2 linked regions of the Coturnix japonica genome follow. The protein of the gene in region 1 interacts with the protein of each later gene in a biochemical or structural test. Links are inferred from orthologs where the notes say so. Each region holds a gene or a part of one and is shown in the gene's direction. Other genes may lie near its edges. The genes, in order: CARD11 and PRKCQ.

Region 1 (7,683 bases):
AAGTCTGACCTCAGTCTACATATGCCTGAATTTATTTCATTGCCGTTACTTATTTTGATGTGCGTTGCTTGCATTCTTTTACATCAGGTGAATCAGAAATAACTCTATGAATAACAAATGAATTACTGTTTATTAAAAAGATTATGGCCTGTAATTTGTGTGGGTATACGAGTATTGGAATGAAGGGAAATGAAAGCCTTACACGTAGATATAAAATATTTAATATTCTAACACCAAGTTGTCACATAGGAAGAAGACACTGCTTTCAGGATTCTGTTCCATTGTTTCAAAGAGAAGAATAAAAAATTCAAAACCAGGTATTCACTTATGGTTTAATAAATAGCAGCCATATAGTTTTATGGCTATGCTTAATCTCACAAATGTAAGATGTTCGGTGATATATGAGCTCTGTTTATACGCAGTTGAAGAGCTCTTCTACAATCCTGCTTAGCTTCCTTCCCTCGGGAGATACGCACTAAAAAGGTAAGTGAACATGAGACATTGGAAGAGCAAACACAGCCTAAGACGAAGGACTCATCTTCCTACAGGGGGCTCTTTGGAAGAGGGGATTGGTGGGTTTCCTTAGGAATGGCTTCAGCTCCCCATTTTGGGGAGTTTCAGTTTTATGGCAGCGATGGATCTTTGTTTAGACCCAATATAATCATTTGTGGTCTTGTAACATTCATATGGTGTTCCATGTTGTGGTTTTGGTGCATCTCATTTATACAACAGTTTCACATTCAAATCTTTTCCAAGGTCTGTTTACAGACAGGCACGCTTTGTCTGTGTGAAACTCAGATGTCTGTATAAGATCTGTAATGGAAATCAAGAAGTCCTTAACTTCCAGGTCTGTGCTGCAGTATTGGATTTTTGAACAGTGGAAAAAAAAAAACCTTATCTCTAATGATACAAATTAATATGTGATTATTATTTTAGTTACTACATCACTTACGCTATTAATTAATCCTAACATGTTTTTTACTTTGAGGAGTGTTGTCCCTCTGAGCACAGCGCTCGGCAGAAGTTTTCTCCTCCTGACCTTTTACAGAAGCTGTACAGAATGAGGAGGGAGAAAACGCAGAATGATGCAAAACCATTTAAACTTTGCAGTTGTTTCCAATTTGTCTCTATTAAAGACATGTATCGCTTTTTAATTAGAATAAATGTTGACCTATAAAGAAGACAGGAAACCTTCTAATTCTAAACAAACAAGCAAGAATAAGTAACTTGCCTCTCCTTACTTCTCCTAACGTTTGGGTTTGATAGATTAGCTTTCACATCCCAGCTATGCTAAGTCCTTCACAGTCTAATCCTCAGAATGCATATCGACAATGCTATTATGGCATGAGTTGGGAAAGATGACCTTGTGTTTTAAGCAAAAGATGAAATATGAAAGTGATTATTTAGAAACATTTTAAACCAAATTCATTGATCTAAAATCATCCTTTTTTTCCGCCCCCCCAGCCTTTTTTGTGGAGAATATGATCAAAAATGATCAGGGTTCTTTTGGTAGTAATGTTGATTATTTGCCCTCCTCTCCCTTTTTGTTTTAGCAGGAAATGCTTGTTTTTAAGTTTTTTGCCTTGAGTTTATAACAGTTGCCAGTTTCTACAAAGCAGCGCATCAGATGTTGTTTTTCAAAATTAAGCCATTGTGGTAAGAAAAAAATTGTACTTTTATCACTTTTAAGGGAGAACAGATATTCTTTTATCTCCCCAAAACTTAGTTACCTCGTCTGTTGAATATATCAATAACCCACTGGTTGCTGTGGAACTGAACTACTTGCCTGGAAGGTTTAAAGATCCATGGATTTTAAGTGCTATGGATATATAATTAAGAGCATAAGGAACAGCATAAGGACCAGAGCTATGGCTCATACCCAGTTGTGATGAATAATGTATGTGTAATGAAAAGGAAATGGTTGGAGGAGTCGCTAAATTAACTCTGCCTCTTCTGGCAGGAGTGGTACAGAGCCTGGGGCTGCTTCACTTTGGCCCAGAGATGAGGCAGAGTAGATCTGAGTTGTTTGCTCTGCCCCTCTGTAGAGGGCAAGACCCCATCTGCTGCACTGGGGGATGTCAGACCAACCCCTGCAATGGGTTTGAACTGAAATTTCTTCCTAAAAAGGAAGGTGAGGATGCTCACACCCAATGCAGACAGATAAATCATTGAAGTCGACAGACAGAACATTTTGTGCAAAAATACGTTAGCCCAACACTGTCAAGTGAATGAGAGAATTTTATACTATCCGTTTCTCACTGATATATGTTTGGCTGTCATCTTATTTCATAGCTCAGGCAATTGAAATACTGTTTAAATGTGTATCATAAAGCTATAGATGGGAGCATTTCCCAACTGGATTTAAACCATTGCCCCAAAGGTGCTACAGAAACCCTGCTGTGTGTCGCTTTTTAACATCAAGGGGCATTTCTGATGTTAATGTCTAGAAAAGGCAGATGAACACTAACAGCTGCTTATCCACAGGCTGGTGAATTGAATAGGGAAATACTCTGTTCTGGAAGTCAGATCTCTGGAGAAAACTGATAAATTATGAGCATCTCTAAGTAAGAGTGATGGTCTCTAAGGACAGTTGAGCAAGGCTGATAATATAAAATATGTAAAATGTGGAAAATATTTAATACTTCTGTTTCTTTGCTCTAAAGAGTTGGAGGGGTTGTTTTAACAATATATATGGCGTTCCTGAGCAGGGGAAATGCAATATATTCATTCTCAGATCACTAGTTTGTGAAATGCTGTTCTGCTGCCTGGGGAATTTCAGGATTATTACAGTGGTAAGGAGTCAAGGGCAGACTCCTCATAGGCTGGCTTGGCTCTCCTGGGACAAGAGGAGGAACAGCAGATTAAGGGCTGGGCAGTTTAGTAGTTTTTCCAAATGCTATTTTTTTTAATAATGTTTTTTAGTCCTCCAATTTGCAATAGCTCAAAGACAATCAGCACCTTCATTTCTGACTGATGGACTGCCCTCCTGAGTGCTGATGAACTAACTCTATATAAAGTTGTTCTGTAGGGTGTCAAAGTGTACAAGCGAAACCTTCAGCTGGACAAACACACTGCGTAAGATCCCTGGGGCACAGACAGAAAGAGGGGTGAGAAAATCTCTATGAGCAAAATACTTCCAACACAGCTCCCTACTGTTGCTGCTCCCTAAGGGACACATAGTTCTACGAGTCAGAGTGCTGCACGCTGCACTTGGATCAGGAAACCACTGATTTGCAGTTCTGCAGTCTCTCTGTAGTACACACCTGTATTTTAGATGGAGCATCTGGATTTCCTTGAATTTTCTCGTTGCCTGACTGAACCTGGTTATTTTCTATGCTTACGTTGTGTGAAACGTATCCACACAGTCTATCAGCTTCAAATAACTGTAATCTCAGCCATAATATTTCTGTAGCTTCAGAGACATTTTTTAAAACAGAAAACTGGGTTGGAGTCTGTAAATTCTTTTAGGAGAAGATTGATGCTGAGTTATGTGTAGCTTTATGATTGATAACTGAATTCTACTTGGCTACTCTCAGTTTACAAGTCTTTATGATTAAGAGAAATTTGTCCTTCATGTTTTGGTGACTGATTCCTTTAATCTGTTCATTGTTCACTGAGCAGCTGCTTCAGCTCTTCCTTCTGTTTAGGTGCAGAGAAACGTGGGACCTCTAAAACAGTCATTGGACCTTTTGAAAGCTGTTTGTAACCAACAACAGTAAGCAAAACAAAAGCAGAAACAGGAACAAATGGTATCCAACCTTTGCTTGGCTCTAGAGAGCAGTTTTACAGTCTACTGCCTGATAGCCAGTGTGCTAAAGGAATCAAAGACTGGAGAAACCTGTAACAAGACTTGTTGAGTATTAACTTGAATTCTGTCACATATTTACTTTCAGATTAGGAACTGTGCACGGAAGATTTGTGTTTTAAACCAAAGTGAAGCCACAAAGCCTGTTTGTCAGCTGCCTTCATTTCCCTGGTTGAACTGAAAATGGTTCCTCTGTTGCATGCACAAATCAGCTTCCTCTATGAAAGCAGTGGAAAGCTTGGATCAGAAATAACTTGTATTGCTTTTGATGAAACAAGAGCGGGCCATAATTCTTACAGCAGTATTTCAGTTTTTCTCCGGAGTATGTGCAGCTTTTCCCTCACTGTGCTGGTCATGTCTGAAACTGTGCAGCCTCATCCATGCAGTTGTCACACAGGTAAGTTTTGGTTGCCCAGGGCACCTTGTCACAGGCAGCTCACTGTTTATTCAGAGGTGAATTTTGATAAGGTTGTACAAGGATATAAGTAACACAAAACAGTATAGTTCTCACTGGGAAAAAAAAACAAACAGTAAGAGAATGGTGTTCTGCTGTTGCCCGGGGAGAGGAAGAACTTGCTGCTTTCCTTTGAGTTGTTGTTTTAGAGAACTGGAATGTCAGAGTCCCTTTCAATACCACCCTTATGGCTAAACTTAGGCCCTTCTCAGTCATGGTACAGGTACAACCCATGGAATCAGAGGGACAATAAGGGAGAACAAGAGCAGAGCTGCCCCATGTCTTTTGCTGCAAAGAACATACTCTGCTCTCCCAACTTTCACAGGATTCAGGTTTTCAGTTTGATAAGGACACTTCAGAGTGTTACTGTAATAGCACTTCCAGCCAGATACCATCTCCCTTTTTACTTCTTTTCACGTTATCACTTCCCTTCATTCTATTTTCTTTGAGGCTGCTGTATCCTTTGACCCAGCTATATCTTCTGATAGTTTTTTCCACTGCTCTTTCTTTCCATTTGTTATTTCCCTTTAGTCTAACAACTGCTTTTCCTTTTTCTGCCTCTCACCCTACTTTCCTCATGCCTTTTCCCCTTCCCACATTCCTTAATTATCAATCATCTTTCCCCTTATGCTCATTAATCCTAGTGTTTTTCCTTTTCTTTATCTGCTTCTTATAGGAGATAGAAACGTACATGTATGTATACAGCTGTTTTCTTCCAACCACATTCACCCTCACATATATACATCTCAGTGCTCTTTGGTGTGATTGTGTCCTCAGAGGGACCCAAACATTGGATTTACCCATGTGTGGCTTTCAGCCCATTGTCCAGCATTCAAGCTATACCAGATGTCTGTCAGCACACAGACTTCCTTAGGAAAATGCTGTTTTACAGCATCATTCAACTGTAACATATACTAATACTCGCATTACATTTTGTCGTCTCCCTTTTAGCTTAGCGACAACAGCTGTTAATAAGAAAAAAAAGATGTTTTCTAAAGGTTTTTGAAGAAAATGCACCACTCTTCCTGCCTGGAACTGCTTCAGTTGGAACTCTTCAGTCCTTTTTCTTTCTTATCTAGCCAGTGTGTGTAGTGAGAAGCAAGGGCTGTTGCTTTGTGGTTGGAGGTACAGCCCCAGGTTAGCTGGCAGCCAGCATCTCCCCTTCTGCCCTAGGGATATGCACTGGGGGAGCTCCTGCTGCAGGGAGCTCAAGGCAGGTGGTGCAGACAGCCTCGTTTCTTGCTCTGAGCCATCCGCTGGAGGCTGCTGCCTTCTGTGCCCACTGCTCTTCCTGGGGAAGGGGTAGCAGTGCCTCTTCATTTGCTTACCGTGCTTCTTTGGGGCTCTGCTGTCACCTGCGTGCAGAGTCATTTGCAAACAGGCAGTATCACTGGGGAGCAGAAATGTGTGTTTTTTTTAAACCCTAAGCAGATTGATACTCTGGTTTCCTGTCAGATCTTTGCATTTTCCTCCTCTGCCCCGCCCAGCCCCTGACACACTTTTTTCTCACTTTCTGTCGCTCTGTACTCATTCTGACACCAGTGCACTTGCTTCCTTTATTCCAGATTATCCCCAAAACTTTCGGCACCTTGGGGAAGGGGGGCAGGCGGCAGGAGGACTTTTGCTCCTTGTGTTTCTTTTACTTTCTAACAGCTGCAGAGCACAAAAAAACCACTCCGGGGCTCCTGGAAGAGCCAGACATGGGCATGGAGGCAACGTAGACACTTCATCCTGCAGCAGCTGCACCGAGACACCCACTCACTCATGAGCACCCAAGGTAAGGACAGCAGCTGCCTGGCGCAGCATTTAAGTCTAATTGCCACAAGTTCCACTTTCACCTTTATTTTCTGTGTTCATTTTTGTGTGTTTCTCTGAGGTCTGTAGCCACCCGTCCTGTCCTCAGCAGCACAAAATGTGCTCGGGGGGGGGGGGCCCTGCGGTACCCCAGGGTGATGGGTGTTGGTAAGGGAAGTGTGTGCTGAAATGGAAGTGCAGAGGGGGAGCTGAAAGGGCTGCTTGGCAGTGCTGGTTGCCAGGGAATTCCTGCTTCTGCTCTGTGCACTGAGCCCTGACCAAGTGTTTAAATCCTTTCATTACGGATTTATGCTTTCTATTAACTAATAAAATTATTTTTTCTCCCCTCTTTTAATTAGCTCTTCTCACTTCCTTTATTCTTTTATCAACTCTAATGTGCATCCTATCTTCTTCACCATCTTCTTATGCCTGTTTCTCATCAAGCATATCTTCTGTGTGACAAGTGTTCCACTTGTTCCTTTCTTGCCCATGCACAGAATGTATGTCCTCCCCCATGTTCTCAGTCTCTCTCCTTCCCCGCCATGATTTCCTTCTCTATCTCATGTTCCACTTTCCTGCCACCTCTTGCACTCACACCTTCCTGCTCCATCCTCTCCCTGCGCATGCAGCATGCATTGCTGCCCTGCAGAGTTGGTTTAGCATGTGGGGATGGTTCCTGTCTGCTGACCCGTTCTCATACACACACACACTGCTTTCATATCTGCCCCTTTGCTCATGAACATAATCAGAATTTGCAGATTTGGAAATGCATCCCAAAATGCCAGGCATGTCTGCTTGCATTGCCTCCCTCCAACTTCCAGACTTGTGCTGAGTGATTCACAACAAATAACCGCTGTCATCCTGTCTCTGTTTCCTTCTGTCTCACCAATAGAATTTTCTAACACCTACAGCTCACCGTAGCTTCCTTTCCGCTCACAAGTATGGCCCTCTCTGACTTTGTTTTTTCTATCTCTGCTTTTTATATCGTCCCACTCCTTCCGAAGCCTTTACCCCAACCCTCCACCAGGCTTCTCTATCTGTTTCTATGCTGCGTTCACACTGGGAGGAAATGCTAAAGCAGATGGTCTTACTCTGCTGCCTCAGCATCCCCCTGAGACCTCGTAGGGAAACCAGAGGAAGTACTGCAGTCTCAGCTCCTCTTTCCTTTGCAGAATAGGCAGGTGAGAGCAGAGTAACAGCTTTGTGAAACTCTTAGAATGTCTGGTCTGATGAGTGAGGTCATTCTTGTCCCACTGAATCCCATAGGATTTAATATCTTAAGGAGAGAGGCTCCCTGCTGCAGTATTGTAGCAGCAGTAACTTTATTCCTAGGATCTGGATTGAACTCATTTCTCAGATACCAAAATTTGCCAAGATCAGGTTAAAAACTGCATCCAGGGACGATATTTGCTGTGACTGGTTGTTTAAGTTTATAAGCTTTGAACCAGATATGACAAAGTAGTAAAATTTGTTGAAGTTTTTTAGCCTCACCTTCTTAAGCAGGTCTATTGAGACTGGAGATTTATTTCTAGGGATGTTCTGGTTTGGGCTTTTGGGGACTGAATAAGGATCACTTATTAAACTCAGCTGAATTAATAGGAGAATTATGATGTGAGAGAATTCTCTTAGC
Region 2 (7,176 bases), on another chromosome or scaffold:
GGGTTCCCAGTTCTAGTGAGGGAGGTGACGCCTCTTCAGGCAGTGCCAGCATCTACAACAGGAAAAAAAGGTAATTTACCCTAGTGGTACAGTAAGGCAGCCTTTATTCCAAAGCAGACCATGGACAAACAAAGCTACTGAGGGCTCAGTGGCCTGTAAGGAAAGTTAAAGTCCTGAAAAGACTCCTTATTTGTCTGCTTTGTGCTCAAATCAGAGAACTCTGGATTTTAAGACCAGAAATGTCACCATCTTTCATTAAATCTATGTGTCCCATACAGAAGTTCATTTCAGAAGTTCTCATGGTTTGTGGGGCACTGTTCTGAAACTAACTTTTTTTGCAGACTCCCACAAGCTTTTAAAATACATCTACCAGAAAGAGGAGGGAAAGAAAGAGAGGTACAACTGAATTAATACTTAAACCAAGTAAGGGATGCAACAGTAGATCTGTAGACAGTGACTCAGCCACCTCCCTGGGCATCCCATTCCAGCACTAGACCACTCCTTCAGAGAAGGGATTTTTCCTAATATCCAACCTGAGATTTTGGTGCTGTCTATTCCATTTCCCCCCTTAGAGAAAAATCAATGGTGCCTTCATCTGTGTTCATTTTCTGAGGGCTACAAGTAGAACAGAATGTACCAGTCTGTACTGGTAAAGCCTGAATTATTTACATCTGGTTAACATGTGAGTCTATCTGATGATTAGTGTTCTTGCTAAGCAGCTTAGGACAGCACAGCAAGTACAGCAAGTACATACATTTGAGTGAGTGGGATAAATCCAGTAAGGGACAAGAATTTCATGAACATCCAAGGGAATGAAGTATTGAAGAAACTGTTAGTAATTCCTCTCCAGGACAGCTGGAATATTTCATTAAGTCTCCATAACCAGAGCATGGAGCCAATACGAAGATGATGTCCCATTTGTTTCACACACTAGTTTTGCCAAGGGTCTTGAAGAGGTCTCAGAAGAAATGGGATCCTATCAAAACAGCAACCAGCAAGAAGGAATGAAGAACAAAGGCTGCCAGAAATGAAAGATTTGGTTTTGTTTTCTACCATGAAGCAGGACAGATGAAGGACTTCATAAAGCGGGAATAATGCCACTGAAGAAAATGGAGCTATGGTGGAGCAAAATTTCCTCTGGAGAGAAAGCTGTATGCAAGCAGAGACAATCTATTCACTTGATCTGTCCACATTTTCATATATCTGAAAAGACCTTTCTAGAACTATTCAAAATACCTCATAAGCATTCTGGGGATTTTCTCCTTACTTCCCAGTATTTATTTGAATGCTTTGATTTGTGTTGCAGAGCCACAGGGCATCTCCTGGGAGACTCCAGTGGAGGGCACGACAAAGAGAGAGTCTCTAATAGAAACAGACCTGGGAGGAAAACAGCCCCTGGAGCAGCAGGAGGACCAAGTGCAACTAAAACTAACCATTGAAGATTTTGTCCTGCACAAGATGTTGGGAAAGGGCAGCTTTGGCAAGGTAAGTATTAGGAGGCTGAGATCTCTTTGCTGTTCCTCTTCATGCAGCTATGCCCATCAGGTTGGCTTAGCCATCTTGGCAGGGGCAGAATCTTTAGATGGGAAAGTGAATATGAATCACCACCCTTCTCCAGAGTTAGCAAGTGCTAACTGCTTTTTTCCCATCTCTGATCTGTGCTGGAACGTAAAGCAGATTTCACAACAAGCCAAGAATTTGTACTTTTGAAACAAGGTCCACCTGTTTTCAGTATATTCATTAATCTTGATGGATGGTCAGTTGTTCCTCCTTCATGCAGATGCCTCCTGGAAGTGGACTCATGTTATCTCAGTGCATGAAGTAATTTCAGACCACCTCTCCCTTGTGTTTTCACAGCCAGTAGGGAGAATGAGTATAATTATGTATCACGTTGCTTAGATCTCAGTCTTTTCCAAGGTGGAAACTGCCTGGAAGAAAGCCTGTTTTTTGCTAAGGGAGCTAGAGCAGTTGCTGCAACCAAATCTTAAACTGGGGAAATATCTATTGTGTTGACTTTTTGCATATATGAAAGCATTTGGCATGTCTGCATTTCGTATGTGAAGCAGAGCTGAGATATGTAAGTTAAAACTAAGCCACGAAACTCCAAACTTCACAACCCAGACTAACTTGGTCTCAATATAGATGTCATAGAAGAATTCATAATCAAAGGAAGGGTTTTCCAGAGATCATCTAATACAACTCCTGCACAAAACAGGTCTCACCAGATGGGGCTTGTCAAGTTGAGAAGCCAAGAATCTGCATTTCTCTGCCATGCATTATGTGAGCATGGAGGGGAAGGGCTAATTTGTGCCTTTCTGCAGCAAACTTCTCCCACAAGTTTCCCGTGTAGGTATCACTCCAGGTGCTGTCATCTATTTGTTGTAACATTCACTTGTCCACAAAGAGAACAAGATATGCAGATCTCCATGCTTGGAAGACTTCTCCACTTCTGGGTGGACCTGGAGAGACTCTGAGGGCTACAGCCACGAGGAATCTCCCCCTGCATCAGTCCAACATTGCCTACCTGTGCCTTGAGGGTCACAGCATAAGTCACACTTATATTGTATTCTCTGATTTCCTTGGAAAAGCAATGCCTTGCACAGAACCACAAGTTAAAAGGGTCCCTTCAGCATCAACACTGTTAGCATTTCTGGTCATTCACTGCAGAGACCGAAGGTGTCTCTAGGCTCTGTGTAGTGCTAACTACTACTGTCTAACTACTAACTACAGTCTAACTACTACTGGTGGACATCAGTTTATACATACCGGTGCAAGGCATTTGCATTTCACATGCTGACAAAGCAATATTATGTGATTTGTTACTTTAGTCAGAAAACAGGAAATGTGTCTCATGAGCATTTGCATGATGTTGGTTTCTGTTGTCAGAAGTGCTCAGCTCTCATACATGTCCTGTCCATATGAACATGTAGCTCGTGTTCTTGCAATTACCAGTTACCCATCTTTCCTCAGAGTTCAGCCTCATAGAATTATTCTGGATGTGGGGAGCGGATTCAAAGTCTACACAGTCTTCATGACAGAATCAGAACTTAAATAGCAACTTTTAAGGTCTACACTTATGAATTCCTCAGAGCCATTTTCCCATGCAGAATTATCTGCTTAGTGCTGCATTTCAGCTCATCTTGCTCAGCTTCCATGGCTGTTGTTGCCAGCTCAGAGAGAAGAGCATTGGCTTTTCTGAGCAGCCATTTCCATTCTAGGTGTTCCTTGCTGAGCTGAAGAACACTGACCAGTATTTCGCTGTGAAAGCCCTGAAGAAGGATGTGGTTCTTATGGATGATGATGTTGAATGTACAATGGTGGAGAAGAGAGTCCTCTCTTTAGCTTGGGAGCACCCGTTCCTGACTCATGTCTTCTGTACATTTCAAACCAAGGTAAGACAAGGATTTGTCACCTTCCTCCATGGGCTGAGGGCACTTTACAGAGATCGTATGCCAAACCAAAACTCAAATAGCATTGAATATTGAAATCTGTCTGACCCTAAATGGCAATGAAGCCTGTCGCGCTGCCTGGGGTTATAGTTGTCGAAGTGCAGGACCCAGCACATGGTCTTGTTGAACTTCATCTAACTGGCCTCAGTTCAGCTATACAGACTGTCCAGAACCCCCTGTAGGACCTTCATTCCCCCAGGCAGATTGACACTTCTGCCAGTTTGGTGTCACTGAGGGTGCATTCAATACCTTCATCCAGGTCATCAGTAAAGTTAGAGAACAGAACAGGCCCCAGGTCTCACCCCTGGGAAACAGTACTCATGACTGATGACCTAGTTGTAGGGAATGACTGACATATTGATCTCCTCAAGATGGTGCCAGCTGCCTTGGGACGGTGTCTGTTGTGGCATGTAGGAATGCCCTGCCATTCTTCCTTGAACTCTGTGGTTATAAATGATGGCCCCACATTCTTCAGTAAGAACAGGTTTGTTCTATCACATGACTCTGGAAGAATGACCAGAAGTTTGGTCTGATTGTTCCACAACACAGAGATAATCTCAAGCACGATCAGCAATTTGCCTGTGGTCAGTCTACCAAGGAGCCAGACAGTGTGAAAGTGGGGTGCTGTTCAGATCTACCTAGATCTCCACATGACAGAAAGCATTCCTATTTGTTTGCTTAACAGTTCTGACCTGAGGCCATCACAGGGTTAACTGCATGGTAAATTCTTGCCATCCCAGATGCCACTTCTTGAGAAATACCCACTCATCACACTCTTGTCTACTGCAGACACTGGCAGGCTTCAGAGCTTTGTGGCAGCAGACTCTTCAGAGGAGTCAACAGATAAATGTCCCAGGACAAGAGGAAGCGTGGGTTGGATCCTGTCTGCAGACATCCTCTGTGCCATTCTAACCCTTTGCCCTCTGGCAAGCTGTTGAATTTTCACTGGTTTCAAGCATGCTTTTTGCCACTTCTCATTTTTATGCTGTTCTGTAGCTTCATAGTTCTTGATATAGGGAAGTGTCTCCAATAATTGCTGCTTGTGCTTCTAGACTGCTTCTTGCTAATCATAATTACACACATAGGGCTGATCTCCAGCAGTTTTCCTCCATGGGCCATACTAGACAACTAGCCTTAGTAAGAAGTAAGTGAAACCCCTTATTTCAGGGCAGAGAACTCAGAGGGGTGCCATCTTTCTTTTCAGTAGTATTTATGTACTATTCCATAGCACTCAGTAGGCCATGAATTTCAAGTAGTAGCTAAATCTAAGTCAGGCTTGTAGTCTTAGCTCCATATCTGCAGGCAACTTGGTGGCCGTGTTTATATAATGGTCTTTGGAAGCAAATTAATCTGAGAGGCTGTTCACTTTTTGTTTTCCAACTGGGTAGAAGGATGCTATAAGAGTCCCCAGTTGAACTAAATGCCTGCATTAGATGGCCACTCAAATCCATGAGCAAGCAGAACACGGCTGTTTGTTGTACTGAGTAAGTGTGCACTTCAATATATGCTTAAAGATGAATGATAAGGTGAAGTCAGTGAACTTCCCAGTTAAACCCAGGGTTCTTCCCCTTCCCAGAGCACTAATGTTCTATCTGGCCCATTCAAAAACCCATAAGATTTCTCCTGTACCAGTATGATACACATGGCTGTTGGTCCTCATCATCACCTTGTTGTTTCCTTTTTAATATCCAAACCAAGAGATATTTTAATATCTCTTGGTTTTCTTCCAGAGATACTTACGTTGGATTTTATAAATAAAAATCTTCATTCAAGTGTTAAAAGTATAAGTCAGAAGAACTACCTGGACACTGGATGATGGACACTAGACAACATAAGAAGGATATTCATAAACTTCTGCGTAGCTTGGAGATAACTGACTTCAAATGTTTAATGAACAGAGAAAACACCACATCCGTTTTATTTTGTTCATGCATTTATACACAGAAGCTGACAATACTGAAACAGAAGTTTAAACTGGGAGCATAACTCATTGTACAGATACACTCTTTCCAGGAAACAGAGATCTTCCTGCTCTATAGGTGTACTTAGGAGGACATAGGAGACCTGGGATTTGCTTCTTCCTCTTCCATCAGTCCCCCAGGAATCTTGTTTATCTGTCCTTCCATAATACAGGCGCTGAAAAGGTGCTTATCCCCTTCTAGTAATCCTTGAGCTTTATTGGTAAAAAACAACGGCACCAGTTGATTATAATGTGGCTTCACAATGTTTGTTAATGCTGTTTATAGAAATTAAAGTAATGAGGCAGAGTACATGCTTAGAGAAGAAGGAGCAGAAATTAGGAACTTGGAAGATAATCTGCTTTCTTCCAAAAACCCTGACACTAATATTTTCCTTCTTATTTTTTTAATTTCCTCTTTCTCACCCCTAATATTTGTCTTATCTCATTCTCTAGGAAAATCTCTTTTTTGTGATGGAATATCTCAATGGAGGAGACCTCATGTTCCATATCCAGAGCTGTCATAAATTTGACCTTCCCAGAGCAACGTAAGATGTTATGATTACCTTTTGGCACACGCTAGAAACAAAAGAGGAAGATGAGAGCACTAGGGCTCTTAGCTTTCTAGCTCTACCACTGTCCTTTGATGGTAACCTTGGACCCAGCCCTTGACTTCTCTATGACTTACTTATTCTGCAAAGTGCTCTCAGCTGGCTTTTTAGCATGAAAGCAGAACCACTCTCAGTTCCCACTCTCTCCAAAACGAACACAACAGATACGCAGGTCATCACCCCATCTCAGTGACAGACTTGGACCTAGTCACTTCCTCTCCCAGTCGTCTTTCCCTCCCACAAAAAGCTTTTTAGAGCACATCCACGCAATTCATTTCAGTCAGATGTGAACTTGCTTTGCATTCTTGGTCAACTAGGGAAGCTATTTCTGTCTGAAAGCATTACAGATGGTGCTACACCCTCGTCAGCACTGCATCAGCCTGCAGTCTTGTCCTTCAGTTTACAGATGAGAGGCTTCCTCACATCCTGCGACCCAGCTGTCATACTTGTGTTAACCTCAAGAATAGTCCTTCAGACATTTAAATAGTCCCTCAAACATCGAATAGTCCCTCAGTCCCAGAGCCAGGAGTTGGATAGAAGCTGTGCCACAGGCTGCTTTATTTCCTGAATTAGTCCACTTAACAGAGAGGAGCTCTTTGCCTGAGATCTTACCTCTAAAAGTGTCTGCAAATAGCACTGAGAATGCCTAAAATCTGAAACATCTGAAAATAAGTAGGAGAATTAGACTAAATGAAATGTGTTCAGATCCTTCTGTGAAGTAAATAACATTTCAAAAGTCAACATTGAGGAATTAAATTTTATTTATTAATTAGAAAAAAAATATACTGAAAAACTTTATTTAAATCTGTGTTCACTTTACTGGTTTCCTTATTTTTTACAAAACTATTTGAATGTTCATAACTAAGCCCTGAGGTCAGTGCAATGAAAATGACAGAGCAAAACCTTACAACAACATGGAGGGAACGTGAACTGGTGGTTACATTCCTCCTTTCTGGGCAGAGCGCCTTCATTCTGCAGTTTAGGCAGAAACTTGTTCAGAACAAAGATCTAAAACTCAGAAAGTCTCCACAGAAAGACCACCAGGCTGCTACCTATTTCACATCTTGGGTAAAACTTTGGAAACAAGTCATTAATCCAGGCAATAAAGAGATCTGCTTGACAAGCTGAGGAATCTCTGTGTTGTTCCCAAACCGAGATG

The links.
Region 2: of the proteins of CARD11 (region 1) and PRKCQ, one has a biochemical effect on the other in vitro, tested with the Homo sapiens proteins (2 studies listed by BioGRID). The link is inferred for Coturnix japonica from reciprocal best matches to the Homo sapiens genes CARD11 and PRKCQ.

Annotation. Positions count from the first base shown.
Region 1 is NC_029529.1:3,536,476-3,544,158, reverse strand, and holds the start of CARD11 (caspase recruitment domain-containing protein 11), read left to right. Parts: upstream 1-3,503; 5' UTR 3,504-4,073; coding exon 4,074-4,202; intron 4,203-5,912; coding exon 5,913-6,036; intron 6,037-7,683. UniProt on the Homo sapiens protein: Adapter protein that plays a key role in adaptive immune response by transducing the activation of NF-kappa-B downstream of T-cell receptor (TCR) and B-cell receptor (BCR) engagement.
Region 2 is NC_029516.1:3,259,174-3,266,349, reverse strand, and holds part of PRKCQ (protein kinase C theta type), read left to right. Parts: coding exon 1-70; intron 71-1,306; coding exon 1,307-1,485; intron 1,486-3,218; coding exon 3,219-3,392; intron 3,393-5,862; coding exon 5,863-5,954; intron 5,955-7,176. UniProt on the Homo sapiens protein: Calcium-independent, phospholipid- and diacylglycerol (DAG)-dependent serine/threonine-protein kinase that mediates non-redundant functions in T-cell receptor (TCR) signaling, including T-cells activation, proliferation, differentiation and survival, by mediating activation of multiple transcription factors such as NF-kappa-B, JUN, NFATC1 and NFATC2.